Macaca mulatta: one gene and its partners. The protein of the gene in region 1 interacts with the protein of each later gene in a pairwise test. Links are inferred from orthologs where the notes say so. Each region holds a gene or a part of one and is shown in the gene's direction. Other genes may lie near its edges.

The links.
Region 2: the proteins of RBPMS (region 1) and RDH12 interact in binary tests that used the Homo sapiens proteins (3 or more experiments, as listed by UniProt). The two-hybrid records come from large-scale screens. The link is inferred for Macaca mulatta from reciprocal best matches to the Homo sapiens genes RBPMS and RDH12.
Region 3: the proteins of RBPMS (region 1) and VENTX interact in binary tests that used the Homo sapiens proteins (3 or more experiments, as listed by UniProt). The two-hybrid records come from large-scale screens. The link is inferred for Macaca mulatta from reciprocal best matches to the Homo sapiens genes RBPMS and VENTX.
Region 4: the proteins of RBPMS (region 1) and OTX1 interact in binary tests that used the Homo sapiens proteins (3 or more experiments, as listed by UniProt). The two-hybrid records come from large-scale screens. The link is inferred for Macaca mulatta from reciprocal best matches to the Homo sapiens genes RBPMS and OTX1.
Region 5: the proteins of RBPMS (region 1) and ARID5A interact in binary tests that used the Homo sapiens proteins (3 or more experiments, as listed by UniProt). The two-hybrid records come from large-scale screens. The link is inferred for Macaca mulatta from reciprocal best matches to the Homo sapiens genes RBPMS and ARID5A.
Region 6: the proteins of RBPMS (region 1) and TOLLIP interact in binary tests that used the Homo sapiens proteins (3 or more experiments, as listed by UniProt). The two-hybrid records come from large-scale screens. The link is inferred for Macaca mulatta from reciprocal best matches to the Homo sapiens genes RBPMS and TOLLIP.
Region 7: the proteins of RBPMS (region 1) and FOXP3 interact in binary tests that used the Homo sapiens proteins (3 or more experiments, as listed by UniProt). The link is inferred for Macaca mulatta from reciprocal best matches to the Homo sapiens genes RBPMS and FOXP3.

What each region holds. Positions count from the first base shown.
Region 1 is NC_133413.1:32,159,362-32,163,314, forward strand, and holds the start of RBPMS (RNA-binding protein with multiple splicing), read left to right. Parts: upstream 1-1,153; 5' UTR 1,154-1,714; coding exon 1,715-1,780; intron 1,781-3,953.
Region 2 is NC_133412.1:140,909,690-140,912,561, forward strand, and holds the end of RDH12 (retinol dehydrogenase 12 precursor), read left to right. Parts: intron 1-1,666; coding exon 1,667-1,769; 3' UTR 1,770-2,372; downstream 2,373-2,872. UniProt on the Homo sapiens protein: Retinoids dehydrogenase/reductase with a clear preference for NADP. Displays high activity towards 9-cis, 11-cis and all-trans-retinal. Shows very weak activity towards 13-cis-retinol.
Region 3 is NC_133414.1:145,334,222-145,338,210, forward strand, and holds the start of VENTX (homeobox protein VENTX), read left to right. Parts: upstream 1-1,189; 5' UTR 1,190-2,529; coding exon 2,530-2,770; intron 2,771-3,989. UniProt on the Homo sapiens protein: May be involved in ventralization.
Region 4 is NC_133418.1:61,712,516-61,716,620, reverse strand, and holds the start of OTX1 (homeobox protein OTX1), read left to right. Parts: upstream 1-1,305; 5' UTR 1,306-1,373; intron 1,374-1,727; 5' UTR 1,728-1,796; intron 1,797-3,372; 5' UTR 3,373-3,481; coding exon 3,482-3,578; intron 3,579-4,105. UniProt on the Homo sapiens protein: Probably plays a role in the development of the brain and the sense organs. Can bind to the BCD target sequence (BTS): 5'-TCTAATCCC-3'.
Region 5 is NC_133418.1:5,209,287-5,213,465, forward strand, and holds the start of ARID5A (AT-rich interactive domain-containing protein 5A), read left to right. Parts: upstream 1-1,379; coding exon 1,380-1,854; exon of another isoform or gene 1,855-2,140; coding exon 2,141-2,193; exon of another isoform or gene 2,194-2,558; coding exon 2,559-2,656; exon of another isoform or gene 2,657-2,944; coding exon 2,945-3,104; exon of another isoform or gene 3,105-3,491; coding exon 3,492-4,179. UniProt on the Homo sapiens protein: DNA-binding protein that may regulate transcription and act as a repressor by binding to AT-rich stretches in the promoter region of target genes.
Region 6 is NC_133419.1:1,190,213-1,194,299, forward strand, and holds the start of TOLLIP (toll-interacting protein), read left to right. Parts: upstream 1-1,287; 5' UTR 1,288-1,345; coding exon 1,346-1,378; intron 1,379-4,087. UniProt on the Homo sapiens protein: Component of the signaling pathway of IL-1 and Toll-like receptors. Inhibits cell activation by microbial products. Recruits IRAK1 to the IL-1 receptor complex. Inhibits IRAK1 phosphorylation and kinase activity.
Region 7 is NC_133426.1:49,332,401-49,335,900, reverse strand, and holds part of FOXP3 (forkhead box protein P3), read left to right. Parts: intron 1-890; exon of another isoform or gene 891-1,064; intron 1,065-1,303; coding exon 1,304-1,535; intron 1,536-2,062; coding exon 2,063-2,167; intron 2,168-2,265; coding exon 2,266-2,404; intron 2,405-2,818; coding exon 2,819-3,080; intron 3,081-3,500. UniProt on the Homo sapiens protein: Transcriptional regulator which is crucial for the development and inhibitory function of regulatory T-cells (Treg).

The sequences.
Region 1 (3,953 bases):
AAAAACCAGAAGCTTTAACGATCGAGTATTGGAAAAGCTTTCTAAGGCCCGGGAAAAATGGAAGTTTCCTTAATAATGTTAGCTTCCATGTACTGTAAACCTAAACGAAGCAAGAATGAATACTGGGTGCTGTACATAGTTCTATCAACCTACAATCTCGAAAACGCTAGGAGACACATTCAGCTGCTCCCATTTAACGGATGAGGAAACAAGTACGCAATCCTGAAGTTGGTGCAAAGCCCAGGCCCCCTTTCTTCTTCAAGCGTGCTTCCAGCCTCTGAAATTCCTCCGTGTGGACCCCGAGCTCTGCCTGCAATGAGGAATATTCACTTTGCCAACAAATATTTATTGAGTGCCTACTATACACCCGGTAGCTCGTTTAAATAGCCGTGGGATTAAAAAGATAAATAGGGTAAGTTTGTGGTTTTTTCTTCCAGGAAGGAGCTTTCTGAAGGGTGAGGGAGAGGCCAAGTAAACAATCCCAGAACAGTCGGGTGAGAGTTGGGAGAGGAGTCGGGGGCCGCGGGACGCCCAGGCAGCGAAGCGGGGAAGGCTCCGGGCGCGTCGCAGGACCCGCGCTGGAGATGGGTTTGAAGCCCTGTCCTGAAAAAGCCGGCCCGGAGGGGGCTGTCCCCAGTATCCCTCGAGTTCTCATCCTGTCATTCAAGCAGCAGGGGAAGAACCGGGTCTGGCTCGGGAAGGGTGGGCTTAGGGCCAGGGGTGCAAATCCCTTGGTAAAAGCCGGCAAACAAAAGTCGCACACATCCCAGCTCCCGGTCCTGGCCCCGGCGGGGCAGGGTCCCCGAAGTCCCGGGGCGCGCAGACGCCGGGGCCCCCGGGGGCCGAGGGAACTGCAGTACCCGACCTCCCCTGCCCTCGGCCTCCAGGGCCCTCGCCCTCCGACCAGCCGCCGAGTCTGGGGCTGGGGTCGCCGCTTCCGCCCGCCGCCCGCGGCCCCTCCCCGGCGCGCGCCATCCGGCCGCCGGCCCCTCCTCCCGCGGGGGGCTCCGTCCCGCGCCCCGTCCCTCCGGGCTGCAGCCGGCAGCCCACGTCCAGGGAGGGCGGAGGGAGGAGGAGAGGCGCGGAGAGGAGGGAGGGGAGAGGGGAGGGAGGAAGACGAGAGAAAGGGAGCTGCTTCCATCCCGGACTTCCCAGAGCCTGCCTGGAGCGCGCACTCAGCGGCTCTCGGGTCCCAGCGTCCCAGCCGCCGCCCGCGCCTCTCCGCCCCGCTCCTCCTCCTCTTCCTCCTCCTCCTCTTCCTCCTCCTCCTCTTCCTCCTCCTCCTCTCTAGGCACCCCCGTCCCCTCCTTCCAGCGGCTGCAGCCCCCAGCCCCAACTCTCTGCGCTTACTCCTGGGACGCGCGTTCTCGCCCCATCCTTTGCTTCCTTCCTTCCTTCTTCCTTCCTCCCCTGGCTCCCGCCCTCCCTATCCAGGTCGCCCTCCCGGGGCCCGATTGTCTCGGTGCCCAGCTCTCGGCCCGCGCCCTGCCCCGTCTCTCCCTCGTACTTCCTGAGTCGCCCGCCGCTGCCGTCGCAGTCTCGCCGCGGGAGCCCCAGCCCGACAGCCACTGCCCCGGCTCCAGCTCCAGCCCCGCAGCCCGCGGCGCCCGCCCGAGGGAGCCCCGGCGCCCGGGGAAGGCTACAGTGGGCGAGCGCGCCCTCGCCCAGCCCCGCGCCCCAGCCCTGCCCGGCCCGGCGAGGAAGGACCGGGAAGATGAACAACGGCGGCAAAGCCGAGAAGGAGAACACCCCGAGCGAGGCCAACCTTCAGGAGGAGGAGGTACTGGGCGGCTCGGTGCAGTGGCGGGGGCGATCCGGGACCCAGTGCGGGCGGCCGGCGGGGCGCGGGCGCGGGCCCGGGGCGCGGCGGTGGAAGGTTTAGGCATGGCCCGTGCCCGGGACGCAGCCCCGCAGTGTGGCCCGGGGAGGGTGGATCTCGGGAAAGTGTGTTTTTGTGTCCACGCGCGTCTGCGGGCCCCAAATTGCGTAACTCTAAGGACTTTTCGGAGACTTTTGTAAGTATAATGCTCAGCTTTGTTTGCCCGGGATTTAAAAAGTGGAACCGAGAGCTGACTCCTGGGTGACCTCAGATGATCGGGACTCGGAGGGTCAGGACTTAGGGCTGGGGCTGGAAATTGTGTGTGGATTCGGGGTAGCGGGGGGGGGCAGTTTAAGGAAGAAACTTGGGGAAAAGTTTTCATTAAAAGATACCTCTGTTCCCTGCCCCCTCCCTTTCCGTGTTAAAAGTTCTTGGTGAAATATCTTTCTAGCCGAGGGTTTTTGGATTAATAGATAACTCATCAGCCACATTCTTCTCTGCTGAGTCAAAGACCCCGAACCTGGGCGGTGAACGCTTGCGAATTTAGGGCCGTGCAGATGAGGGGAGCAGAATAAGAGGGTTAAAAACGCAGCAATTCACCAAATGCTCATCGAGGATACTTTTATAGGACTTTGACTTCTGAGCACGCATTTTGGGTGGTGCGTCTTCACGATGAAAGTTTTGTGACTGCGGAGCGTTCCTTCGGTGGAAACAAAATTGAGTAGATGTAGTCAGAAGGGGAGTCGGACTCAGGAACAAACGTTTCAGAATTCAGTAGTAGGGTATTTGTGGTATCCTACCAAATGACTGTTTCTGCAGGTACATTATCTGGAGTCCAAGAAATTACTTCTGGCGTACTTTTTAATATCACACACAGTTGAGTTCTTAACATTCTAGAGGAACTTGAGAGTGTGTGCAGATGCAGGAAAGTGCATGGCTCAATATGACCCGAAAAGATTCACACAGGTATTGCATCCTGATCTAGGTGAACACAGAAGGTAAACGGATTCTAAAGCGTTAGGACGTTGAGATCATTGTTGAGACACTGTTGTGTGCAAACTTCAATTCTGATAGTGAAACCAAAATTGCAGAGGAATTCATTAATGCATACAAGTTCTCTGCACATTGTCCACTTGGGAAATGGGAACTATTTAGGTGGAGAAGGTAGAGGAGCGAGACTATGCCAAACAGTGCAAAATCGGAGATTTTACTCTCTTACCCAGTTGTATGGTAGTGAAAACCTAGATGAGTTGCAGTCAGTCAAAAATTGCTTTCTCACCCGAGGACATTTTCTATTTTATTATAAAAGACTATTTGAAGAGTTGTTTACATGCATGTTTTCTAATTACAAGTGTAGGAATGCTACTGGCGTTTCTTTTTTCAAAGCAATGGAGAGTTGAATGGTATGTTCTGACTTTTTTTCTTGAACTTTACTGGCTGCTTTGCTATTTATTTTCCCTACCACTTAAAAAATTTTAAAAATAATGCTTTTTTAAATTTGCTTTTTTAGGAATTACTATAGTTAACTAATTCACTTACCATATCAAAATAATTATCGCTTCAGAAATCTTCCTATTTCAGCTAAATGTGCAATCTGTTTGCTTCTCAGGGTTAGAATATTATATCAAACCATCTTTATTTACCCAGTTGAGAAAACTTTTTTTTTTTCCTTTTGGTGGGTAGCAAAAGAGGTTCAATGTCCTAAAAATCATACCCACTTAAAATTAAGTATAGAAAAGGCACATTTTTCCGCTTGACCCATCTTAACAGCTGCCAGGACCGAGGGATTGCCTGCCCTGTTCCTGGACGCTCCTCTGTCCTTGCGAGGTTGTGTGTAATAATTGCTGTATAATCGCGGACCATTGCAGTATGGTTGCTGCCTCTTACTTGTCCTGTTACCTGACAGTGTTCTTTTTCAGGTAGGAATGGCATGTGGCTCTAGAAAGTATGGATATTTTTAGCAAAACACTTGTTATGTAAAAAATAAGGGGACTGGTAGGAAGATTTCAGAACCTAAGTTGTCCAAGAGATGTCGTGTACAAAACAGATAAGACTGTGAAGAGAGGGGGTTTATAATGTCAGAAATTCAGGAAAAGAAACTAAGGTGGCCTGAATGATCCGGGTAATTTTGCCT
Region 2 (2,872 bases), on another chromosome or scaffold:
TGGATCACTTGAGGTCAGGAGTTAGAGACCAGCCTGGCCAACATGGTGAAACCCCATCTCTACTAAACATACAAAAAATTAGCTGGTCATGGTGGTGTATGCCTGTAATCCCAGCCACTCAGGAGGCTGAGGCAGGAGAATCACTTGAACCTGGGAGGCAGAGGCTGCAGTAAGCTGAGCTCGCTCTACTGCACTCCAGCCTGGGCAACAGAATGAGACTCTGTCTCAAAAAAAAAAAAAAAAAAAATTTTAAGGCTGGGTGCGGCAGCTCACACCTGTAGTCCCAGTAGTTTGGGAGGCCAAGGAAGGAGGATTGCTTGAGCTCAGGAATTCCACACCAGCCTGGGCAACAAAGTGAGACCCCCATCTCTACTAAAAATCAAAAAATTAGCCCAGCATTGTGGTGCATGCCTGTAGTCGCAGCTACTCGGGAGGCTGAGGTTGGAGGATGGCTTGAGCCTGGGAGGTCAGGGCTGCAGTGAAGCGTGATAGTACCACTGGACTCCAGCCTGGGTGACAAAGTGAGACCCTATCTCAAAAAAAAAAAAAAAAATCCTCCTCAAACTAGACACAGTATGATCCCGGTTTTATGTGAGACAGAGAGAGAGAGAGACTACATCTCTATTTATATCCAAACAAAGAAAAAAGACTGTACAGAAAGCAACTGAATGAGAGACTTTTTTTTTTTTTGACAGAGTTTTGCTCTTGCTGCCCAGGCTGAAGTGCAGTGGCATGATCTCCGCTCACTGCAACCTCTGCCTCCTGGGTGCAAGCCATTCTCCTACTTCAGCCTCCTGAGTAGCTGGGATTACAGGCACACACCATCACACACAGCTAATTGTTTTTTGCATCTTTAGTAGAGGCAGGGTTTCGCCATATTGGCCGGGCTGGTCTTGAACTCCTGACCTCAGGTGATCCGCCCACCTCAACCTCCCAAAGTACCGGGATTACAGGTGTGAGCCACCATGCCCAGCCATGATAGGCTTTTCTTCTTTTATCAGCACTGCATGTTCCAACTGTTTTACAGGGCTTTTATAATTAGAAAAAAGGAACATTAAAAACAAACAAACAAACAAACATGATGAGAACTGTGTTCTCTTCCCACCCCCTATCCCTCTGGTCCTCGGGCCCCCTGCTCATTCCAAAGCAAATCTGGAGGGCTTGGTCTGGGGTTCATGATGCAAGTGGGCCTGTCAACAGAATTCAAGGGGCCTGTGAACTTGGATGGGAAAATAACTTCATCTTTAGTTTAACCTCCAGTTGAGATTTGGCATTTTCTTCAATTATGAATGTAGGCACTGAACTGTAGTAGTAGTAGTGATACCTGTGACTTTGTCAATAGAATTATAAATATTTTCATATCACATTGCAGTTGTTGCAGGTATCCTAGAATGTCACTTCTGCTCGCCACTACTTTGAAATCTTTTGATAATTAGACCTGGTACTAGATCTTGTTATAGAATACATTAATAAATAAGCCTGTGTATTACTATATCACAAATTTGTTTTTAACATATTCTTAGAGTGCATTTTATATAATTAGTTTCTTTGAGTCTGGCATATATTGTATTTTATACATTTAGAAACATTCTGAGAAAGGGACCATAAAGATTTCCAGACTGCTAATTCTCATTCCTGGAATTTACCGTCTTCCTCTGCCCTCCAGTGACTGCAAGAGGACCTGGGTGTCTCCAAGGGCCCGAAATAACAAAACAGCTGAGCGCCTATGGAATGTCAGCTGTGAGCTTCTAGGAATCCGGTGGGAGTAGCTGGTGGAAGAGCCGCAGCTTTACCAGGCCCAATCTATGCCATAATGAATGGGGACCAAGGAGAAGGCCAACCCTAAAGGATTGTCCTCTTGGCTGGCTGGTGCTGCGAATCCTGCCTGCTCTGATCCTCTTGACCCTTCTGGGAATGTTTGCACTCTTCACACTCTTGTGAGACTGGCTTATGGCATGAGATGTGGATACCTACAGAGCATTCTTCTCTAAGACCTGGAGAGTCAGCAACCCTCTGGGGGCAGCAGGACTGGGTAGATCCCCGGCTGGGCATGTGGGTGGCAGAAGAGCCTGAGAAATTGGGTCAATTCCTTCATCAGCACCAGATGCTCAGCTGAGGCAAGAAGAGCATCATCACTGCCTATTTCCAGGGGCTATACAATCCAACTCTTGGTTGACCTCTTTCTTTTTAAAACTATTTGCCACCACCCTGGAGTCTGGACCAACACACAAAGATCCTGGCTAACCCTGGTCAAGTAGATTCCTTCCTCTCACCTGGACCTTCCCATTTCAATCATGCAGATGGTTTCTTTTTGTAAAGTGTTCCCTTTACCTTTCAAATTTTAGAGAAAATAAAGACTGCATTCATCTTATTGTCTTATTTATTTTCTCAGGGCAGCAAGGAAGAGAAATGGAACAAAGCAGGGGAACCAGCCTGCTAGTTTAGTGAGTAGCATTTCACCCTACCCAGCCACCCATACCTTCTTAGACTATGGCATCTGGGGGCAAAATAAGATGGTCCAGTTGAGTCGTTTGTTAATTTTCTTCCAGCGGTAACATTTTATTATCTAAAAGAGAAGAATGTCTTCAATTACAGATATGCCGAGCTCCACCACAGATTAAGGCCAGATGTAGGACTTCATTTGATCCACAGATACAGGAAAACCAAGCCTTGATAATCTCTTGTCCTAAATTCATAGCTTCTCCCACTTCCGGTCTCTCTGCTGTCCTTTGCTGTGGCCCAGGTGACCTGCTTCTTGCCTCAAGGGTTGACGGTCACCATGAATAGGCAGAGAGATGTGCCTAATCTTTCAGCTGATCAACAAAATAAGTCATGCTTATTGGCTTCATTTTTAAGGCATCCAAAGGGCATC
Region 3 (3,989 bases), on another chromosome or scaffold:
GGGGCGACGCCCGCGGGGACCACCCTGTGCGGCGTGCGGGGCGCAATTCTCGGGGCTGGGCTGCCCCAGGGGCTGGGAGGGAGGAGGCGGAGGAGCGCCCAAGTCTCCTACCCATGGCGGCGCATCAGGACGCGTCCCAGAGCTGGGGGCGGACGGAGGCTCCGAGGCGGAGGCTCTGGTGACCCCAGACCTGGGCCAGAGCAGCCTCCGCGGGCCCTGGAGGGAGGGTGGAGGCAGAGGCCCGGGCTGCAGGAGTCGGGGGAGCCTGAGCCACGGCGGTGGGGCCGCTTGCCAGGGGAGAGGGGCCACCCAAGCCGCAGCAAGGGGCTGGGGTGGGGGCCCAGGACGAGGGGCTGTCTGGCCCTGCCGTGTGAAGGTGAGGAGGGGCGGTTCAGGTGGAGGTGGTGCGGGGGAGCTGGGAAACTGGCAGGAGGAGCTCTATGCAGAGCTGGGGCCGGCGAGGGGAGCTGAACCACGTGCAGAAGGTGGCTGAGACCTCGGGGCCGGGCCCCTGGAAATTAGAGATGGAGACGTGGAAGGCTGGGTGCTGGCGTTTCACAAACCCATGCTAGTGGTTTCCTCTTTATGTAAGGGATGCTTCTGGGCCTTTTCCCTGCCTGTCGAAAGTTCTGTGTGTGTGTTTGGGGGGCGGGGTGGGAGGTGAGGGTGTGCTGCGTTTTGCTCCACTTTGAGGCACCGCCCCGCCGCAGCCCCCACCCTCAGGGCCTCTGCTCCCAGGTGGCAGGGCCGCCCCCACTGCGGGAGGGCTGGGTACCTGCCTCATGGGGCATCCTCGGGGCCAGCCCTGTGGCCGTAGGCATCTGGGCCCTCGCTGCCCCTGGCCGGAACACTCTGCTGGTCCTGGGCAGTGGCTTCAAATCCCCTCTCCCGGGGGTGACCCGGTCTCTCCGGAGATGAAGTGGGGACGGGGTCTAGGCCGCCTTCCTGGCCCCCCAGCCCTCCTGGTTTTACCCCCGAGGCCACGTCCAAAGCCCCCAGCGCCCCACCCCTGCCAGCCTCCCCCTTGAGGGCCCGGTGGCCTAACTGGGTCGGCAGGGTCCGAGGAAGACCAGGGTCAGCAGCGGCGCGGTCCGTTCCCCGACCCCGTCACCTGTGACCCACCTGTTCCCCGTGAGGTCCCGCCCCAGCGCCCCCCTCCCGGGCTCCTCCCTCTTTTCTCAGCCCGGGAGGCGCGGATAGCCGGGTTGGGCGTAATCGTGGGGCGAGGCCCGCGGGTCTTTCTGATTTCGGAGAGCGGGGTGGGCGCTGAGGCAACCGCGGTCAGGACCCGGCCGGGAGTCGGGGCTGCTCCCTGGACCCCGTCTGCGCCGAAACCCCGCATGGCTTCGGACCTGCGCCCGCGCCTAACCCCGGCCGCCGGAGACGCAGTGCGGACCCCAAGCCAGTGCGCGGAAGACACCGTCCTACCCTCGGCGTGGGCGCAACGCGAGTCCGTGTGTCCCGGCGCGCGGGAAGCTGGTCCGAGGCCGGAGGGAACGCTCGCGGCGTGGCTGCCTCCCACCCGGCCACTTCGGCCCCGCGCCCCACCCCGACGGCGCAGGCGACCCGGGGACGCCCAGGACGCGGAGACGCAAACAACTCGGGACCGAGGTTCGTGGGAGCAGCGGCCGCGCGTCGCGATGACCGTCCCGGGAGCCCGTGCTCAAGGCGTCCCCGTGAGGTTTGGGCTCCACAGTCCCCGGCGGCTCTGCCCCCGTCCTGGCCACAGTGGGGACAGCCCGGCTTGGCGGGGACGCGCCAGTCCCGCAGCCGAAGCGGAGTGTCTACCCCGCCGCGCGAGGCAGTGGCTCCGGCCCTTCCAGCTCCGGATGGGGTCAGGGAGCCGCCCGCGCCCGCATGCGGAGGCTGCTGCGATGGCCCCGGGAGTGAGTCCCCCAGAGGAGCCGGAGTAGGGCTGGAAGCGGACGAGTGCCCCGAGAGGCCCCTCCCGACATTGCCGTCCCCGCGCGCCGCTCCCCGAGCCCTCCGCGTCTTTCCCGGAAAGCGTCCCTCGGTTCCTGCGCGACCGCACAGCCTGGACGCAGCGCACGCGGGCACCGGCTGAGTCCGCCCTGACTCTCCCAGCCTGAAGCCTGCTCGCCCTCGGGTGTCCGGGCTGGGCACAGGCGCCAGCGTCCCCCTGGAGAGGAGAGGTCGCCCGGCACCGCCCAGGGCAGGCCCGAGTGGGAGCGGGACCCTCCTACCTTCCAGCAGCCTCTGCCCGCGGGGTGGGGGTTGGGAGAGATGAAAGGAGGTGACCGATGCCGAACCGTTCCCTCTCCATTAACCAGGGCCCGCAGCCCCGCCCCTGCCCCAGACACCGAGGAGCCGGGGAGGTGTGAACGGTCTCCTTTGTGTCTCTGAATCGAAGGCAATTAGGCGCTGCTTATCCGGGCGTTAGCCGTGTATGCAAACCGGGCTCCCGCCCCCTCCTCCCGGGCTTATAAACGCCGCCGCCCGGCGAGGCCGGAGGTGGATCCTGCGCCTGGCCAGCCCCGCCCGGCCTTCCCTCCGGCCCACCTGGCCGCCATGCGCCTCTCCTCCTCCCCACCTCGTGGCCAGCAGCAGCCCTCCAGCTTTGGCTCTGTGGACTGGCTCTCCCAGAGCAGCTGCTCAGGGTTGACCCCCTCGCCCAGGCCTGCCGACGTCTCCCCGGGGAGCCTCCCTGGCCCGGGCCAGATATCCGGCGCCCGGGAGCCCCCTCAGGCCATCAGCATCAAGGAGGCCGCCACGTCCTCAGATCTGCCTGCGCCGGAGAGGACCGTGGCTGGTAGGTCCGGGCCGGGGGTCCTTCCCAGGTGGAGATGGGAGTGGGGGAGAGGCCAGGAGCCCGGCGGCTGAACTCCCCGCGGTACGGGGCGGACGAGGTCAGGGCCGGGGACGTGTCCATGAGGGCCGGCGGAGGCCTTGCCTGCGCCTCACTGGAGCGCAGCTTCCCTCGAAACCAAAGCCTTGACGGGGATTTTCTCTCCTTGAGCCCTCGGTGGGCTCCTCTGCCTCCCTTGGCACCCCGTTCCTCAGCTGTGTCCCACCGCGGCCTGGTGCCGAGGGACCGTCCAAGGGGTCCCTCTCCGCACCTCTCTGCCCTGATTCCGGGCGCTCACTGAAACACAGCGCGGGCGTGGGCACCTGTGCCCCTGGTGTTCCAGCCCCGCAACCATCGGGACCCAGTTCCAGGGGTCCGACGATTTGCCAAGCCCCCTCTGCCCCCAGCAAAGCCAGTGCCTGCTCAGCATCTAGGCTCAAGCCCCTTCCAGGCCACCTGGAGCACAGCTGTCTTTTAAAGAGCCTGCAGGTTTGCTGTTAGGGCGGCGGTGACCCGGTGCCTGCAGAAACTCTGAAGTTCGGTCTGTGGCCCGGAGATGCTCTGTTGTCTGCTGAGAACAAAGGTTCTCCGCGTTTGTGTTTTAGTCTTTGTGACATCGTTGCCGCTTTTAGGTTTAAGGTAGTACTTGGTCAAAAGTGGGGTTAACATAAGTTTTCATTTTTAAAAATTTGACTGATCCTCATGGAGTAACTTTGTACTTCAGGGAAATGAAAATTTAAATATGTTCTTCCCAGCTAGCTATCCTGCCCCACCCCAAAAAAGTCAACCATTCCTGTCCCCCAACCCCCTTCCTGATCCCAGTCCTACAGCCCTCCCCGCCACAAGGCGTTTGCTTTTCGGGTCTCCCATGTGCTTTCAGGCTAACGTGAAGACAGATTTTGTAAAATACGCTTCCTTCCGCAGAAACTCCAGTGAGCATTTGGGTCAGACTTGAGTTAAATGTTGAGCTCGTTTCGCCACGTTGGCCTCCTTCCTGGGACCCAGACCACACACCACCTTGTGGGGTTGTTTAGTGCCAGCCCGCATTCCTTAACTTAGAAATTAGAAAACAGACTTGACCAAGGTGGGCCTGGGGATTAACTGAGCCGGGCTCTGCTGGCTGAGGAGCCGGAGCCCAGGACAGGGACCGAGTTCCCTGGGTGGGTCCCCAGGCCTTTGCATG
Region 4 (4,105 bases), on another chromosome or scaffold:
CGCCCTGTCTGCTCTCCGCGCCCGACCCCGCAGCCTGGGCAGCACGGGTGCTCCCCACTGCGATGCGCCTGGAGGCTCCTTGACTCGCCCTCACACTTACTCCTGTGCAAACTTTTTACCCCGCCTGTCGGGGTGGGGGAGTGGGGGAGATTAGAAACAAGGGGTAGAAATTCCTCGAAAGGGAATAAAGTGCCTAATTTTCAGAAGGAGGTGCCATTTAAAAGATTCTCCTAGCTCAGAGTTGGAACGAAAACTCTTTTTTGCACTTTTAAAAGTCCACCCAGGCAGACGTGTTTGGGAAGTTTGTTCCACTGGGAAATGGGCTTCGCCCGTACGAACAATCCGGGGAAATCGCCTCAAGGAGGCTCCTTACGCAGCATGTGGAAAAAAGTTGAGGGCAGGGGTCTGTGGCCACATTTTCCATCAAAAAGTCCCTGTTAGAGGCAGACTAGGAAAGAGAGAGAAAGAATGAAAAAGAAACTTTCCTATCAAAATGTTTGAATTAAGAAGTAGGGTGTACATGTGAGGGCAAGAGGACGCTGGGCTCCAACGTTTCAGAAGAAGCGCTTAAGGCTTGCAAACACCCTTGGTGGGGACCGGGAACCCCGGGAGATGCCGATGAGCAGGTAAGTGGCTGTGCCCTCCCAGTGGGTGCTCTTCCCAGGCGCGAGAGTCCCGAGGCGCCGAGGAGAGATCTGCACGCCCGGAGCTGCTCCCGCGCTCTGCAAAGTAGCCTGCGCCGGCACGAGCCGCCCGCGGCGTCGGTCTCAGGTGGCGGTGCAGAGGAAGAAAACGCTGGGGCCCGCGGCGCCAGGAGAGGGGCCGAGGCCCGGGCTCCTCCAGCCCGCCGCCCCCGGGTCCTGGCGCCCACACCCGGGCGGCTGAGCCCGGTGGCGCGCAGGAGAGCGAAGGAACCGGTTCTCCAGCACCTCTCCTCGTCTCTGCCACTCCCTCCGGAGCGCCGAGAGCGCGAGAGAAGGGCGGGGGCGCCCAGGGAAGGCCTGGAGACCCGCGGCCCCCTCCGCGGCCAGGACTCGGGCTCTCCGCTCGCCTTCCTCGCCTAGCTCTGAGCCGCTTTTGCCAGCCGAGTCCCGGAGTTAGCGCGCGACCGGGGCGGGGCGGGCGGGAGGGGAGGGCGGGGTGTGGGGGGCGGGGGAGGGCGGGGGCGCGCGGAGGTAACCCCCGGCTCGCGCTGCCATTGCCCGGCTCCCTGTCACTCAGCCCGCGCGGGGCCCCCGATTGGCGGCCTAGCCCCGTTACGCACTCGCCTCGCGTTCACATACCCGGGGAGGGCAGTAGAAAGGTGATCAATCTTCATCAGGCTACATTTCCAATCACCTAAACAACCGAGCAAGACAAGCCACTCCGACAAGGTAAATCGCTTGATTTATTTAGTTTGCAAAGTGACTCTGCAGGACTTCCCAGTCCCCACTGCCTCCACGTTGCACCGGCAGTGCCGCGGTAACGCCGAGCCACCTCCCAACTCTGCCCTCGAATTCCCCCCCTTGCGGCCCCTCGGCGCGATTCCGGGCGAGGCAATGTCCTGCCTGAGAACGTGTGGGGCTTAGCAAACAAAGTGTCTGTGCAATAAAGTGAAACCCAGAGGGACACGCACAAAGCCACTGAAAAAAAAAGATAGAGGTGGGAGGAAGGAAGTTGGGAAAAGAAAGAAACCCGGGGTCCTAGACCAGCCGCCGGGGTAATTCCTGTGCCGCTCTGTTTTGCAGGTTGGCTGCCCGGCGGGTCTCTGTGAGAGATCCAGGTAGATGGTGAACGTCCCCGGCAGCTGAGGGCAGGTAAGGAGAAAGCCGCGGGACCATCCCGGACTCCGGGAGCGCGTTGGTTACCCTTACCTCCCCCTCCTCAAATGGATCCCCACTTCCCCGGTCACCAGCAGGTGGGCGGGGCTGGGGGAGCGGCCTAGCTCCCCTCTTGGTGAGCCGAGGACCCCGGGGCGCTGTCGCGGCCCGCCGCTCCCTCCCCCGCCTCCTCCGAAGTAACCAAGCTGAAGTGCTAAGTTTGGAGAAAGTCTTTGAAAACTCACGCTGCAGCTTCGCAAAGCCGTCGCAGCTTTGAGTCCCATTTTCCTTCGGCCCTAGAGCCCTGGCTGCTTCTCTTCTCGTCCCCTTCCTACAAGCTGGACTCCCTCAGCCCAGGTCTTGGATCCCAGAAGACCGGGGTGGGAACGGGGCAGGGGGGAGCTTCTTTAGCTCTAACTTCTCTCCCTGAACGTCCTAGCCCGAGTCCCTGGCCTGCTTCACAGCGATCCCGCTAAGCGGGGTGTAGCAATGGCCCCCCAGAGCCCCAGGCCCAGTTTCCAGCGCCCCTCCCTGACCCCTGAGAGTGCCGCCCCGGGTTCCTGGCAGCGGCGGGGGCGAGGCTTCCACCTCCCAGCTCGGGTCTGCGTGGGCTATGCCGCTGAGGCCTACTTCTCTGTTCTCGACAGTGTCCTGGGGCCGCGGGTTCAGCTACAAGGATGACAGCACGGGACTTGCTGCCCTCCGGCTTTGCAAATCCCCGAGACCCTTTGAGGTGCTAGGTCAGTCACCCTTCACCCCCTGCTGGGACCCTGTGGTCCGCAGCACAGACTGGACAGAGAAGGCCGGGTGCGCGCTGGCAACGAAGGACGCTGGCCGCAGCTGAGACGCTCCCGACCTCAGGCCGCGTCTTGGGGTCGCCCCCCTCTACAGTGGCCTCTTCGGCGTCCCCTGGCCCTCTGCGAGGCCTGGGCCGGTTACTGCGGTTGAGGTGTGGTGGGATTTCGCGTCAGCGATCTTTCAGTGGCTGGGCACAGAGAGGTCAGCTGGAATGGTGATTGCGGGCTCTGGGGCAGGGGCGCAGCCCTGGAGACCTTTGAAGGAACCAAGTGTCCTAAGTGGACAAGAGGTTGAGGTGCGGTTAGCCCTCCACATTGCCTCACCTTGGCCCTTTGTAGTCTCTACCTTTTCAAAAACACGTGAAACAAAATGAAACAACCCCTCATGCTCCGGGAGGCCTGCCGTCCCGGCACCAAGTGAACGTTTGCTTGTGCAACATGAAGCTGGCTTCTGCCGGATTCAGAATTTTGCCTGGACTTGGGAGCTTGCACACTCCGCGGTTCTTGCTCTGACCTCCCCAGCCTGGCCTGGCTTTGACTTCTCCTTACTCCTATGGACTCCCTACCAGTGTCTTTGGCTCATTCCAACGCTGGAGCCAGACGACCCAGAAAACTTTACTTTTCAAAGCAACTGTGGTTTCTGGGCTAAGGCCTTGTGGATTCCAGTTGACCACCCTGCGCAGTTCTGTAACCTGCCTTCCCTGTCTATCCTGGGGCAAGACTTGGCAGCCAAGTGGCTCCGATTGATGGTTTCCGTGTGTCTCGTGTCTTCATAGGCCAGGCCCCCAGACGCATCAGACCCTGAAGGACTGCGGTGGGAGCCCTGCACCGCTTCTGGCCCCAGGTCCCCTGGATCCGTCGGGGCGCCTCCACCCAGCTGTTAGCATGATGTCTTACCTCAAACAACCCCCATACGGCATGAACGGGCTGGGCCTGGCTGGGCCCGCCATGGACCTCCTGCACCCATCCGTGGGCTATCCGGGTGAGCACCAGCCCTCCCGACCCTGCTTCAGCCTCTCCAATGTTGGGGCCCCCCAGACTGTTGGGTTTGAGTGCAAGCTTTGTTGCCGAGCAGGCCCAGGGAGTCAGCTATTGCAATACAGGGCCCACTGCCTGTTTACAATACAGGGCCCACTGCTGGCGCACGGGGCAGAGTCGTGGGCATGTGAGGTGGCCAGGGCTGAGAAAACGCGCAATGTGCGCCTTCCTGGCCGGGTCACCGGCAACCTTTCTCCTGTTGTGGTCCCACCACCAGCGCAGAGCTCATTTACCTGCGGATTCGCTACCCAGGGGCGGCTAGTGTTTTTCCTTTTCCCCCAACATGGAATGAGTAATCTGGACACTCGTTAGGCCCTGACAGAAAGAGCCAAACTTTCCTTATGCGAAGCGGCAGGCTGGACTGAAGGAGTATTCTTCCTTCCTAATTAAATTGTCCTCTAAATTGATGTCCTGCATCCATTTTTGCACTGCTGTAGAGGACGACCTGAGCCAAACCCGGGGTTCTTTAGC
Region 5 (4,179 bases), on another chromosome or scaffold:
TATGTTCCTACCCTGGCCCTGTCCAGCAGCCAGGGGACTGACTTGTCTTCTGTGCCAGAGAGTTATTGAAACCAAGATTGACTTGGTTTTTGTAGCAGACCCCTTTTTTCAAGTGAAGATGACCCACCACCCTGATCCATAAAACAGACAAAAGCTCCAGCCCGTGATGCAAAACCACATTCACATCCATTCATCCAGATGCATAACATGGGCATATAAAGTCACTCGGTGAGACCAACAGGGCTGTTGCGATGAGCAGAGTCTGAAGGGGGCGCTGCAGGCAGCTTTTTCGGAGCACAGTTGGCCCCGGCTTTCATTCATTTTGGCCATTTGCTTTGGTGGCACAGTCTGGAAAAGTATCCAGATTCATGCAGAAAAGTGTTTGCAAATGGTAGTTGTCTTTAGTAGCTTGCTGGAAATTCAGAGTAGAGGCCTGGAGGAGCAGATTGACTTGAGCAGCTATGAGAGAGCCTTCCTTCTGAGGTCTGCACAGACCAGCCCCAGGGCCCCGGCATGTTACGATTTCATGGGTGATATATGAGTTCGTATGTTGTTTCTTCTCAGAGGTCTTTAATACCTTAAAAACACTGAACTATTACAGAAGCTATTTACAACAAACAAAAAAAGTAACACTGAAATAAACTTGAATCAATTTTTTTTTTTTTTTAGGCAGAGTCTCACTGTTACCCAGGCTGGAGGGCAGTAGCACAATCTTGGCTCACTGCAACCTCCACCTCCTGGGTTCAAACGATTCTTCTGCCTCAGCCTCCCGAGTAGCTGGGATTACAGGCATGCACTACCAGGCGTGGCTAATTTTTGTATTTTTAGTAGAGATGGGATTTCCCCATGCTGGCCAGGCTGGTCTCGAACTCCTGACCTCGGGTGATCTGCCCACCTCGGCTTCCCAAAGTGCTAGGATTACAGGCGTGAGCCACCATGCCCAGCTGGATCAAATATTTTGGGAACACATGGCTGTCTGCACTATCCTAGTCTAGATGGTTTATGTCCTGGAAGCTGTCTGTTCTCTGACAGGGTGTAGGCCCTGGGCTGTCTGCCCTGAGCCACTTGCTGGATGAAGGCATCAGCGGAGATTGTCCCTCTGGGACCCGCAACCCAAAGTCCTGTGCCCCTGGCAGCAGTGTGCAGTTGAAGCCCAGAGCTTCACCTCCCTGTGCTCAGTACGGCAGGCCGGGGCCACACAGAGGCTCGGGGAACGTGGGCCTGACAGAGCAACCCACGGCACCGGAAAGCACCAGGCACCTTTGTTCCTTCAGCTTTTCCCTCGGCATTGGGGGTAGGGGGGAGGGCGGCGGGGAGTCCCAGGGACACTGAGCCTGCCCTCCAGGAGCTCCTAGTCTGGCAGAGGAGCTGACACAAATATGACAAATCAAGAACAAGACAGAGAAGTGATCCTGGCCTGGAGAAGGCTGGGGACTGCTCTTGTGGACACCTCTGGAGGCAGCTGCTCTGGGGTGCCCAGCCTCTGGGGGGGGGCCCTGAGCTCTAGCCCCTGCCCTAGGGCACTGAGGGCTGATACCTGTGCCAGCCGAACCCAGGAACAGTCACTCCCTCCCAGAACAGTGGCCAGGTGCTCTCTGGGAAACTGGGGTTGGGGGCAAGGTACCTTATGCCTCCTGCAGCCAGTGGTTTCTGCACGTCCCCAGCAGCCAGCCACCAACTGGGGCCCATCCCAATGCCTCCTGTTCTCTCCCCAGGACTCCCCCGAGGCAGGCGGGGAGCGGGAGGAGGAGCAGGAGCGGGAGGAGGAGCAGGCCTTCCTGGTCAGCCTCTACAAGTTCATGAAGGAGCGACACACGCCCATCGAGAGGGTGCCCCATCTCGGCTTCAAGCAGAGTGCGTCCCTGGGGTGCAGGCAGGGAGGGGGGCCCAGCAGGGAACCCCACCCAGGCAGGGCATCGGGCAGGCACTCCCACTCTGGGTGACCCAGGTTGCAGATAGAAAGGAGGCCTCCCTCCAGGCTGCCACCGGGCCAGCAGTGCACAGGCCACAGCCTGCCCATCTACTGCAGTGGCCCTGCCTGGGTGTGTGCTGCTCTGTGCCCGCGTGTCAGGGCACTAGGAAGGGGTGGCTGCCCCACCTCCCACGGAGGCTGACGGCCAGCCTGCCCCTCTCTCCCCAGTTAACCTGTGGAAGATCTACAAGGCAGTGGAGAAGCTGGGGGCCTATGAGCTGGTAAGGAAGGCACCCCCAGTCCTTGCCAGACTGCATCTCCCTGGGGTGAGCCTGCAACGCTGTCCTTGCCTCTGGACAGGAGAAGAGCCAGGATCCCCAGTCCTGCCTTCCTCCCCGCCTCCCCCGCTGGTTCTCTGCTGCTCAAAGCAGCTTTTCAGCCTTCCCCATCTGTTCTGCCCGCCCCGTGTTGGAAAAACTGCTTGGGCCAGCAGTCCGTGGCCCTGGGAGGGAGAATCAGCCGCTGTCGGAGCCGCAGAGCAGCTGCCAAACCGCAGTGCTTTGGTCCCTGCGAGGGCGGCCAGAGCCGCAAGGACCCCGCTGCCAGGGGGCGCTCGCGGCCGCGCCCTCACCAGGTGCCCTTGCAGGTGACCGGGCGCCGCCTCTGGAAGAACGTGTACGACGAGCTGGGGGGCAGCCCGGGCAGCACCAGCGCGGCCACGTGCACGCGCCGCCACTACGAGAGGTAGGGGGGCGGGCCCGGGTGCTGGACGCCGCCTGCCCTGCGGGGCTCGGTCGACCTTGCCGGGAGGGCTGGGTGGACTCTGTCCGGAGCGGGCGGGGTGGGCCCCGTCCTCAGCGCTGCGGGGGCCCAGGCTGGCTGGGCGCAGCCACCGAGGGAGCTGAGCTTTGGGGCGAGGAGGAGAGGGTCTTCTTCGGCGCCGGCGGGAAAGAGGGGCTCAGAGGAGGCCACAGAGGCCGGTGGAGGGGATGGGCGCCGACCTCCTGGGGGACATGCCCGGTTCCTCCCCAGGCTGGTCCTGCCATATGTGCGGCACCTGAAGGGGGAGGATGACAAGCCGCTGCCCACCTCCAAGCCCAGGAAACAGTACAAGATGGCCAAGGAGAACAGGGGGGATGATGGGGCCACCGAGCGGCCGAAGAAGGCCAAGGAGGAGCGGCGCATGGACCAGGTACGCCTGTGGCTGGGTGGGGCCACCCTGTTCCCTGCCTCTTGCAGCCCCCCCACCCCACAACTCCCTGTGGCCACGGAGCTGTCTGCTCAGAACACACCGAACATGCACCCAGGGCGGGACTTGCAAGGTTCCAGGTTCTCCACAGTGCGCAAGTTCTCTACTTGTGCAAGCAGACTGAACTCCAGCCTGCACCCCACCACCAGGCCCTGTGTCCCAACCTGAGGCTGTGTCCGCTCAGAGGACAGGGCTCCTTTGGAAAATTCTGCACAAAGGACTGCAAGAGCTAGCGGGGAACCTGGGCAGGCCTGAAAGTGCCGCCTCCTGCTCCTGAGGTCAGGATGCATGGCTCGGGCAGCCCTGAGGCATGGCTTTCTCTCATTCCAGATGATGCCAGGAAAGACCAAAGCAGATGTTGCTGACCCAGCACCGCTTCTTAGCCAGGAGCCCCCCAGAAACAGTACAGAACAGCAGGGCCCGGCCTCTGGGTCTTCTGTGTCCTTTGTGGGTACCAGCGGCTGCCCTGAGGCCTACAAGCGGCTCCTATCCAGCTTCTACTGCAAGGGGACACACGGCATCATGTCACCACTGGCCAAAAAGAAGCTCCTGGCCCAGGTGAGCAAGGTGGAGGCCTTGCAGTGCCAGGAGGAGGGCTGTCGCCATGGGGCGGAGCCCCAGGCATCCCCAGCTGTTCACCTCCCAGGGAGTCCCCAGAGCCCCAAAGGGCTGACTGAGAATTCCAGGCACCGGCTGACCTCTCAGGAGGGATTGCAGTCCCCGGGTGGCAGCCTCAGGGAGGAGGTGCAGGCGGGCCCCTGCCCGGCAGCCCCCATCTTCACGGGCTGCTTCCACACCCACCCCACCGAGGTGCTGAAGCCTGTCAGCCAGCACCCCAGGGACTTCTTCTCCAGACTTAAAGATGGGGTGCTATTGGGGCCTCCTGGCAAAGAGGGGCTGTCAGTGAAAGAGCCCCAGCTGGTGTGGGGCGGGGACGCCAACCGCCCTTCTGCATTCCACAAAGGCGGCTCCAGAAAGGGCGTTCTCTACCCCAAGCCCAAAGCCTGCTGGGTGTCCC
Region 6 (4,087 bases), on another chromosome or scaffold:
AGAACTGACCACTAACAATATAGAGATCACAGACAAGAGTTTTTGGTGCAGTGGTTGTGTTACTGGTAAAGGGTCCTGATCCAGACCCCAAAAGAGGGTTCCTGGATCTTGTGCAAGAAAGAATTCCAGGCCAGTCCACAGAGCAAAGTGAAAATAAGTTTATTAAGGCAGCGAAGGAATAAAAGAAAGGCTACTCCATAGAGCAGGGTGTTCCCAAAAGTATAAGGAGGAAGGCGTCCACCTGGATACAACGCTTGTTTATATGTAAGATAAAAGCCAAAAAACATCACGGGGGAGACGTGCTGTACTACCTGGGCTCGTCAAACAAAGGATTGCTAATCTTTGCGTAACGCCTGTCCTCCGCGAGCATCTGTATCATGATCTTTAAAGCGAAACTTCAACTAAGAAGGCTTTTAGTTAAGATACCCGGACATCAGGACCCGAGTCCCGGGTCTGCTGGGTAAACATTAACCTGTGCCTGTGACCGTAAACGCCCCATTCCTGGGGATGCAGCGAGCGGGGTTCGGCCTCAGTTTACCCAGCGCTGTTGGAGCTGGGGTCGCTCTGGCTGGAGCGCCTGAGCGCGGGGGGCGAGGTCAGGCCGGACTGGGGTTCGCAGCGAGCAGGAGGGTAGCGGGGCCCCTGCGGAGCGGCGCTGCGGGGAGGCCGAGGGCAGGGCGGGCTCGAACTCGGGCTCTTCTGGCAGCGGCTCCATCCCCGTTCCGTTCAGCCGGCAGCCGCCCCGGGGCGGAACCGCGCCCCATCTTTAGCCCTTTGCAACAGAAAGGCCCTTCCTCCCGCAGTCAGCTGAGGGAAAGATCGCGCTGGAGGGGATGTCGGGCCTGCCCCTGGTTTGTTCCGGGCCACAGTTCCCTCCCTTCTCCGAGCGGGCCGCACGGCCGCAGGTCACCCCCGCCAGGTGGCCAGGTCCTGCCGCCACTCGGCAAGGACCGAGGAGGAGCCAAACTGCCCAGACTGCAGCGCCGCCACACTCGGGTCCGCGCCGACGGCCGTCACGACTGGGCATGCGCAGACGGCCCCGCCGGGAGCCATTTCGCTGAGCTGCGGGGCTCGCGGAGAGAGCGGCTGCGCAGGCGCCGGGCAAGAGGCTGTGCCTGCCCGACACTGGAGCGCGCGTGCGCGAGAGAGCCGGAAGGGGCCGTACCTGGAGCGGCGCCTGCGCAGTGGAGTGGCCCCGGGGGCGGGGCGCGGCGCCTGTCAGCTGACTGTGGCGGCGGCGGCCTCGAGGTGACAACTGTGTCCGTCGCAGGCTCCGGCAGGGGCGCAGGAGGTCGCCCGGCGAGTCACTCTCGGGTCGGCGAGCCACGGGGGCCGCCGCAGCACCATGGCGACCACCGTCAGCACTCAGCGCGGGCCGGTGAGGCCGCCAGGCGGGGGTCGGGCGGGGGCGGCGACCTGCGGCTGCGGGAAGGGCCTCGGGCCCGGGCTACTGCTCAGCGGCGGCGGGCGGGCCGGCTCCTCGGCTCTCCCGGGGTACGCGGGGCGCCCGGCCGGCCGGAGGGGAGCGGCGGCGTCCCCACCTCGGGGCGGGGCGGGGCGGGACGGACGTGCCCACACTGCGGGAGGCTTGAGCTCCCGGTCGCACCCGGGCAGAGCTTTGGGGAGGCGGCCCCGAGGGAGGGGGCCTGCGCCCGTGGTGAGCCCCAGATGGAGGAGGGCCCCGTGCCCCATGGTCCCCCAGAGGAGGCAGGCGGCGCTCCCTAATGGTCCCCAGATGGAGGAGGGCCCCGTGCCCCATGGTGCCCAGATGGAGGCGGGCCCCGAGCTCTGATGGTCTCCCAAATGGAGAAGGGCCCCACACCCTAATGGTTCCCCAAGTGGAGACGGGCATGCACCCTGATGGCCCACCAGGTGGAGGCGGGCCCTGCACCCTGATGGTCCCCTAGATGGAGGCGGGCCCTGCACCCTGGTGGCCCCCCAGGGGGAGACGGGCCTACACTCTAGTTGGTCTCATAGATGGAGGCTGTTTCCTCTTTCTCCCTTACACAGAGGGAGGGTAGTGGTGACCACTTCTTGGGCCCAATTGTGTCCCCAGTTAGTGGCCACCGCGCAAAGCCTCAGTTTCTTCATCTGCAAATGAGAGGATAGGCGCCAAGAACTTCAGAGAACCTTTCCTGCTCTGAATTCTCTCCTGAGGGTTGCCTGTCAGTTTCTTCTATAGCATTAATATTGCAGGAGAGCTGGTGTAGACTGACTCAGAGATGATGGGCTCCTGGCATGAGTGGCCTCCGGGCTCACTGTTAGGGCCTTCTTGCATTGCTGTAGAGGAATACCGGAGACTGGGTAATTTGTAAGAAAAGAGATTTAATTGGCTTCTGGTTCTGCAGGCTGTACAGGTAGCAAGGTGCCGGCATCTGCTCCTGGGGAGGCCTCTGGAAGCTTCCAGTCATGGCAGAAGGCCAAGTAGGAGCTTGCAAGTCACATGGCGAAAGCAGCAAGAGAGTTGGGGGTGGGGAGGTGCCACACACCTTTTAATGACCAGATCTCGTGAGAACTCCCTATCACCAGGACGGCACCAACCCACGAGGGATCTGTCCCTGTGACCCACACGCCCACCCTGCCAGGCCCCATCTCCAACGCTGGGGGTCATAATTCAGCGTGAGATTTGGCGGGGATGAAGATTCAAACCGTGCCACTCACTGAGGCTGGGCTGGGCGGGCTGTCCTGAGCGGCACAGTTTTTATCAACAGTGGCTCTGAACCTGCTGTGGGCGGAAAAAGTCCTTTTTAGGATGTTCCAAGGTCCCTGCACTCGTGCAGCCCAGTACTGGACGTGGTGGAGGGGTGACCAGGGCTCCCCACCCTTAACACTGTATCCACACGTCCTGGTGTTTCTCCTGAGGAGAGAATTCTTCAGGTAGAACATTTTTTTCTGTGTTTCGAATGAAGCCCCAGGTTTTGGACATAGACGCTTTTTCTGAGGACTTTGAAGGAGACCTCCTGACACTTTAGAGACTCAGGTGTGGAGCCTGTGGGTCGGCAGAGGTCCTAGACGGCCCCTGATGTCAGCATCTCCACCTCTTCATCTCCGCTCCACCACAGTGAGTCCCTGCAGGTGGTTGTGGCAGTGAGGTGCTTCTTTCTGCCTAACCGGAGGCTCATAGCAACAAGGGAACCGGCACCCTGCCTTTGTGTCCTCCTGGAGAGCCGGGGGGCATGGTGGCCGGGCAGGATGGCCCCTTCCTTGCTGTGTGGTCTGGGAGACATCCTCAGCCTCCTGGGAACTTGTCCCTCATCTGGAACCCCACTGGGGTGTAGGGCTGGGTTTGAATTCATCAGGTGCTGAGCACTCACGGAGCAGTGGGAGGCAGGCCCTTCCTGTTCTGAGGGCACCGGCGTGCAGTGCTGCTACGCCCGCGATGAGGAAGTGGGAGCGGCAGGAGATGTTCTCGCACGTAGGGCCTGTGCTGACAAGTGCTGAGGTGTTGTTAGCATCTCCTCTTGCCTGGTGCCTCCTGGGCTGTTTCCGTCACGTAGACGAGCAGGCACTTCAGGGGCACCCCCGCTGCCCAGTAAATGCCCAGTAACATCAGATCTGGCTCGGAACTGCCAGGGTCTCCAAGAAGGTGGTGTCAGCGACGGGGATCTCGAGTGCTGCTTGGAGTACCTGTGACTTAATCAACCAGCGTTACCGACTGTGACGTTTAGGATGGCCACGATGCAGGGGCAACCAGGTGGTTCCTGCCACCGGGATCTTACAGGGCAGCACGGTAGACATGGCAGCACCTAAGGACAGTGGAGCCATGTGGTGACCGCGCGGTGGGTCTGTGATCTTAAGCCTTAGGTGCTAGGAGAGTTCGCAAATGGTGGCCTCACCAGGGCTGGGTGTTGGAGTGAGGATGTGACATCTCTCCTGAGCTTGGAGGAGGAATGGGAGTTGGGGGGTGGGCTGGGAGGGGAGTGCACGGAAAACAGAGGTGTGGGGTCTGGAGGTCGAGAGGAGGGAACCCCAGGGGCTGAGGATGGAGGGAGGTCGGAACTGGTGGCCGCAGGAGGGTCCTGGGCACAGGAGGGCTGGACTTGGCCCTGGAGTTTGTCGGGTCAGCGCAGCACTCTGTAAAGTGTTG
Region 7 (3,500 bases), on another chromosome or scaffold:
ACACTTCCTAAAGAAAGAAGTGGAGTTCTCAAGTCACTATGGGACTATGGAACTCGGCATCTGAGCATCCCCTTCTGTAATAATGGGGTTGGCTGGGCAGTCCCTTCCAGCTCTGGCTTCCTCTCAGACCAGGATTACAGGATCCTGAAAAGCCAGTGCTTCCCTCGGGGAGTGGAAGATTCTGGGGCTCAATAGAGGGGCCTGGAGCCATTGTGGAGGGCTTTCAAGGTGAGGACAATAGAAGAGCAGGCCTTGCGTGGCTTGGACAGGGGAAGAGGAGAAGGAGTGGGCATTTGAGGCAGGGTGAGTAGGATGAGCCAGGCTCGAGGGCCAGAAATTGGAGTGAACTCTGATGGGGATTGGGTTGAGAAGCTTCTACAGGCCCCAGCTCAAGAGACCCTGTCTCTCTTCCTCTCTGTCACTTGCCATGCTGGATCCGTGCATGATCACACTCCTGGACTCGCCTCCTTGCCCTGAGATCCAGACCCCCGTATTCAGCTGCCCCCTCAGCTCCTCCACTCACACATCTAATGCCAGACTCTTCATGTCTATCCACACCTGCACTTTTGCCCCCAATCCAACTCCCCGCCATGTCCCCCATCTCAGGTAATGTCAGCTCGGTCCTTCCAGCTGCTCAAGCTAAAACCCATGTTACTTTGACCCTCCCTCTTACCCACTACATCCAAGCTGCCAGCACTGCTCCTGATCCAGCTGCAGATTAAGTCTCAGAATCTACCCACTTCTCACCTTCTCCACTGCCACCAGCCCATTCTGTGCCAGCATCATCATTTGCCAGGACTATTGCAACAGCCTTCTCACTAGCTCCACTCACAGCAGCCAGATGAATCTTTTGAGTCCGTGCCTAGTCACTGGGGCAAAATAGGACTCCCAGGAGAAAGTCCAAGACCAGCTCCGGCAACATGAGCAAACACAGCCTGTGCAGGGTGCGGGAGGGCTGGAGGCCTGAGGCTTGAAACAGCTCTCAAGTGGAGGGAGAAACAACCATTGCCCTCATAGAGGACACATCCACACCAGGGCTGTGCTAGCGTGGGCAGGCAAGCCAGGTGCTAGACCTCTGCACGTGGGGCGTGTGTGGGTATGCATGTGTACCTGTGTTCTTGGGGGGGTGTATGTGTGTGTGTATGTGTGTGTGTCCAGAGCTGGGGTGCAGCTGTGGGACCCCTCGGGACATGTCCCAGCCAATGCCTGCTCTGACCAGAGGGGTGTCCACGTGGTTCAGGTGGTTGAGTATCTTATACCGCCCTAGCACATGTGTGACTCCTTTCCCCTATTGTCTACACAGCCTGCCCTTGGACAAGGACCCGATGCCCAACCCCAGGCCAGGCAAGCCCTCGGCCCCTTCCTTGGCCCTTGGCCCATCCCCAGGAGCCTCGCCCAGCTGGAGGGCTGCGCCCAAAGCCTCAGACCTGCTGGGGGCCCGGGGCCCTGGGGGAATCTTCCAGGGCCGAGATCTTCGAGGCGGGGCTCATGCCTCCTCTTCCTCCTTGAACCCTATGCCACCATCGCAGCTGCAGGTGAGGCCCTGGGCCCAGGATGGGGCAGGCAGGGTGGGGTACCTGGACCTACAGGTGCCGACCTTTACTGTGGCACCGGGCGGGAGGGGGGCTGGCTGGGGCACAGGAAGTGGTTTCTGGGTCCCAGGCAAGTCTGTGACTTATGCAGATGTTGCAGGGCCAAGAAAGTCCCCACCTGCCAGGCCTCAGAGATTGGAGGCTCTCCCCAACCTCCCAATCCCTGTCTCAGGAGAAGAGGAGGCCATATTATAGTCCCATGGGCATAGCTATGTGTCCCCATCCCCATGTGACAAGAGGAGAGGACTGGGGCCAAGGAGGTGAGGTGATAGGGTTGAGGCCAGCTCTGCGACTTATTAGCTGTTTGATCTTTAAAAAGTTACTCGATCTCCATAAGCCTCAGTTTCCACACGTATAAAAGGGGGACGATCATAGCATCTACCATGTGGGCTTGCAGTGCAGAGTATATGAATTAGACACAGAACACTGAGGATCAGGATGGCCTCTCACCCACCTGCCTTTCTGCCCAGCTGCCCACACTGCCCCTAGTCATGGTGGCACCCTCCGGGGCACGGCTGGGCCCCTTGCCCCACTTACAGGCACTCCTCCAGGACAGGCCACATTTCATGCACCAGGTATGGACGGTGAATGGGCAGGGAGGAGGGAGCAGGTGGGAGAACTGTGGGGAGGGACCCCAAGCCAGGCTGAACCACAGCCCACATGTGCCCCCCAGCTCTCAACGGTGGATGCCCACGCCCGGACCCCTGTGCTGCAGGTGCACCCCCTGGAGAGCCCAGCCATGATCAGCCTCCCACCACCCACCACTGCCACTGGGGTCTTCTCCCTCAAGGCCCGGCCTGGCCTCCCACCTGGTAACACCTCAGCCCATACCCCATGGCTTCACAGAACCCCTGGGTCCCCAGATCCTTGGCCGTGAGCAGTGTAGGCTATTCTGAATTGCAGTCCTCTGAGGGTCAAAGGTGTCAGGTCTCAGAGGCTTGGAAACTCCAACCTCCAAAAAATGTCAGGTGCAGAACCTTAAAGATGCAGAATGTCAAAATCACGAAACCACAGAGCTTTACAAAGCTAGTCAAAATGTCAGCACCTGCGAATGGCCGTCTTTAAGCTTCTCTGCCAGAAGCCTGGGACTTTGGGGACAGCAGAACCCCCTGGGAGTCAGGGTTTTTGAGGCTCAGGAGGGTGGGAAGCTCAAAATGAGAGGCCTTGTGGGTCAAGCTCCAGAGCCCAGCCCACAGCCTCCAGAGATGCCCTGTCCCCACCCACAGGGATCAACGTGGCCAGCCTGGAATGGGTGTCCAGGGAGCCAGCACTGCTCTGCACCTTCCCAAATCCTGGTGCACCCAGGAAGGACAGGTCAGTGGACAGGGCTGGGAAGGATCCTCACCCTCCTATCCCCTCCCCTGACACCCTCTATCCCCCCAGCACCCTTTCGGCCATGCCCCAGAGCTCCTACCCACTGCTGGCAAATGGTGTCTGCAAGTGGCCCGGATGTGAGAAAGTCTTCGAAGAGCCAGAGGACTTCCTCAAGTGAGTAGCCCAGGCCTGTGCCAGTCCACTGGCCCTGGCTTGTGGGGAGAGGTCTGGGGTACAGATCTCAGCCCAGGCTTAATCCCAATAAGTAGTAAGATGAAAGAGCTAAACTCTGAGACTGTGGGTTCAAATCCCAGCTCCATCCCTGACTGGCTGTGTGACCTTGGACAAATTACTTAGCTTCTCTGGACCTCAGTTTCCTCATATGTATAATAAGAAACATTTGTTCTGTTATTTACCCCCATTTTACAGACAAGGAGACTGAGGCCAAAGAGGTTAAGTGCCTTGATCAAAATCTCCCAGTTCCTGAGTGACAGATCTGGGATTTGAACCCATGCAGCCAGGCTCCAGATTTTGCACTCCTAACTGCTTTGCCCTGCTACTCCTCATGCCAACATGCCAGCCTTATTCTACTGT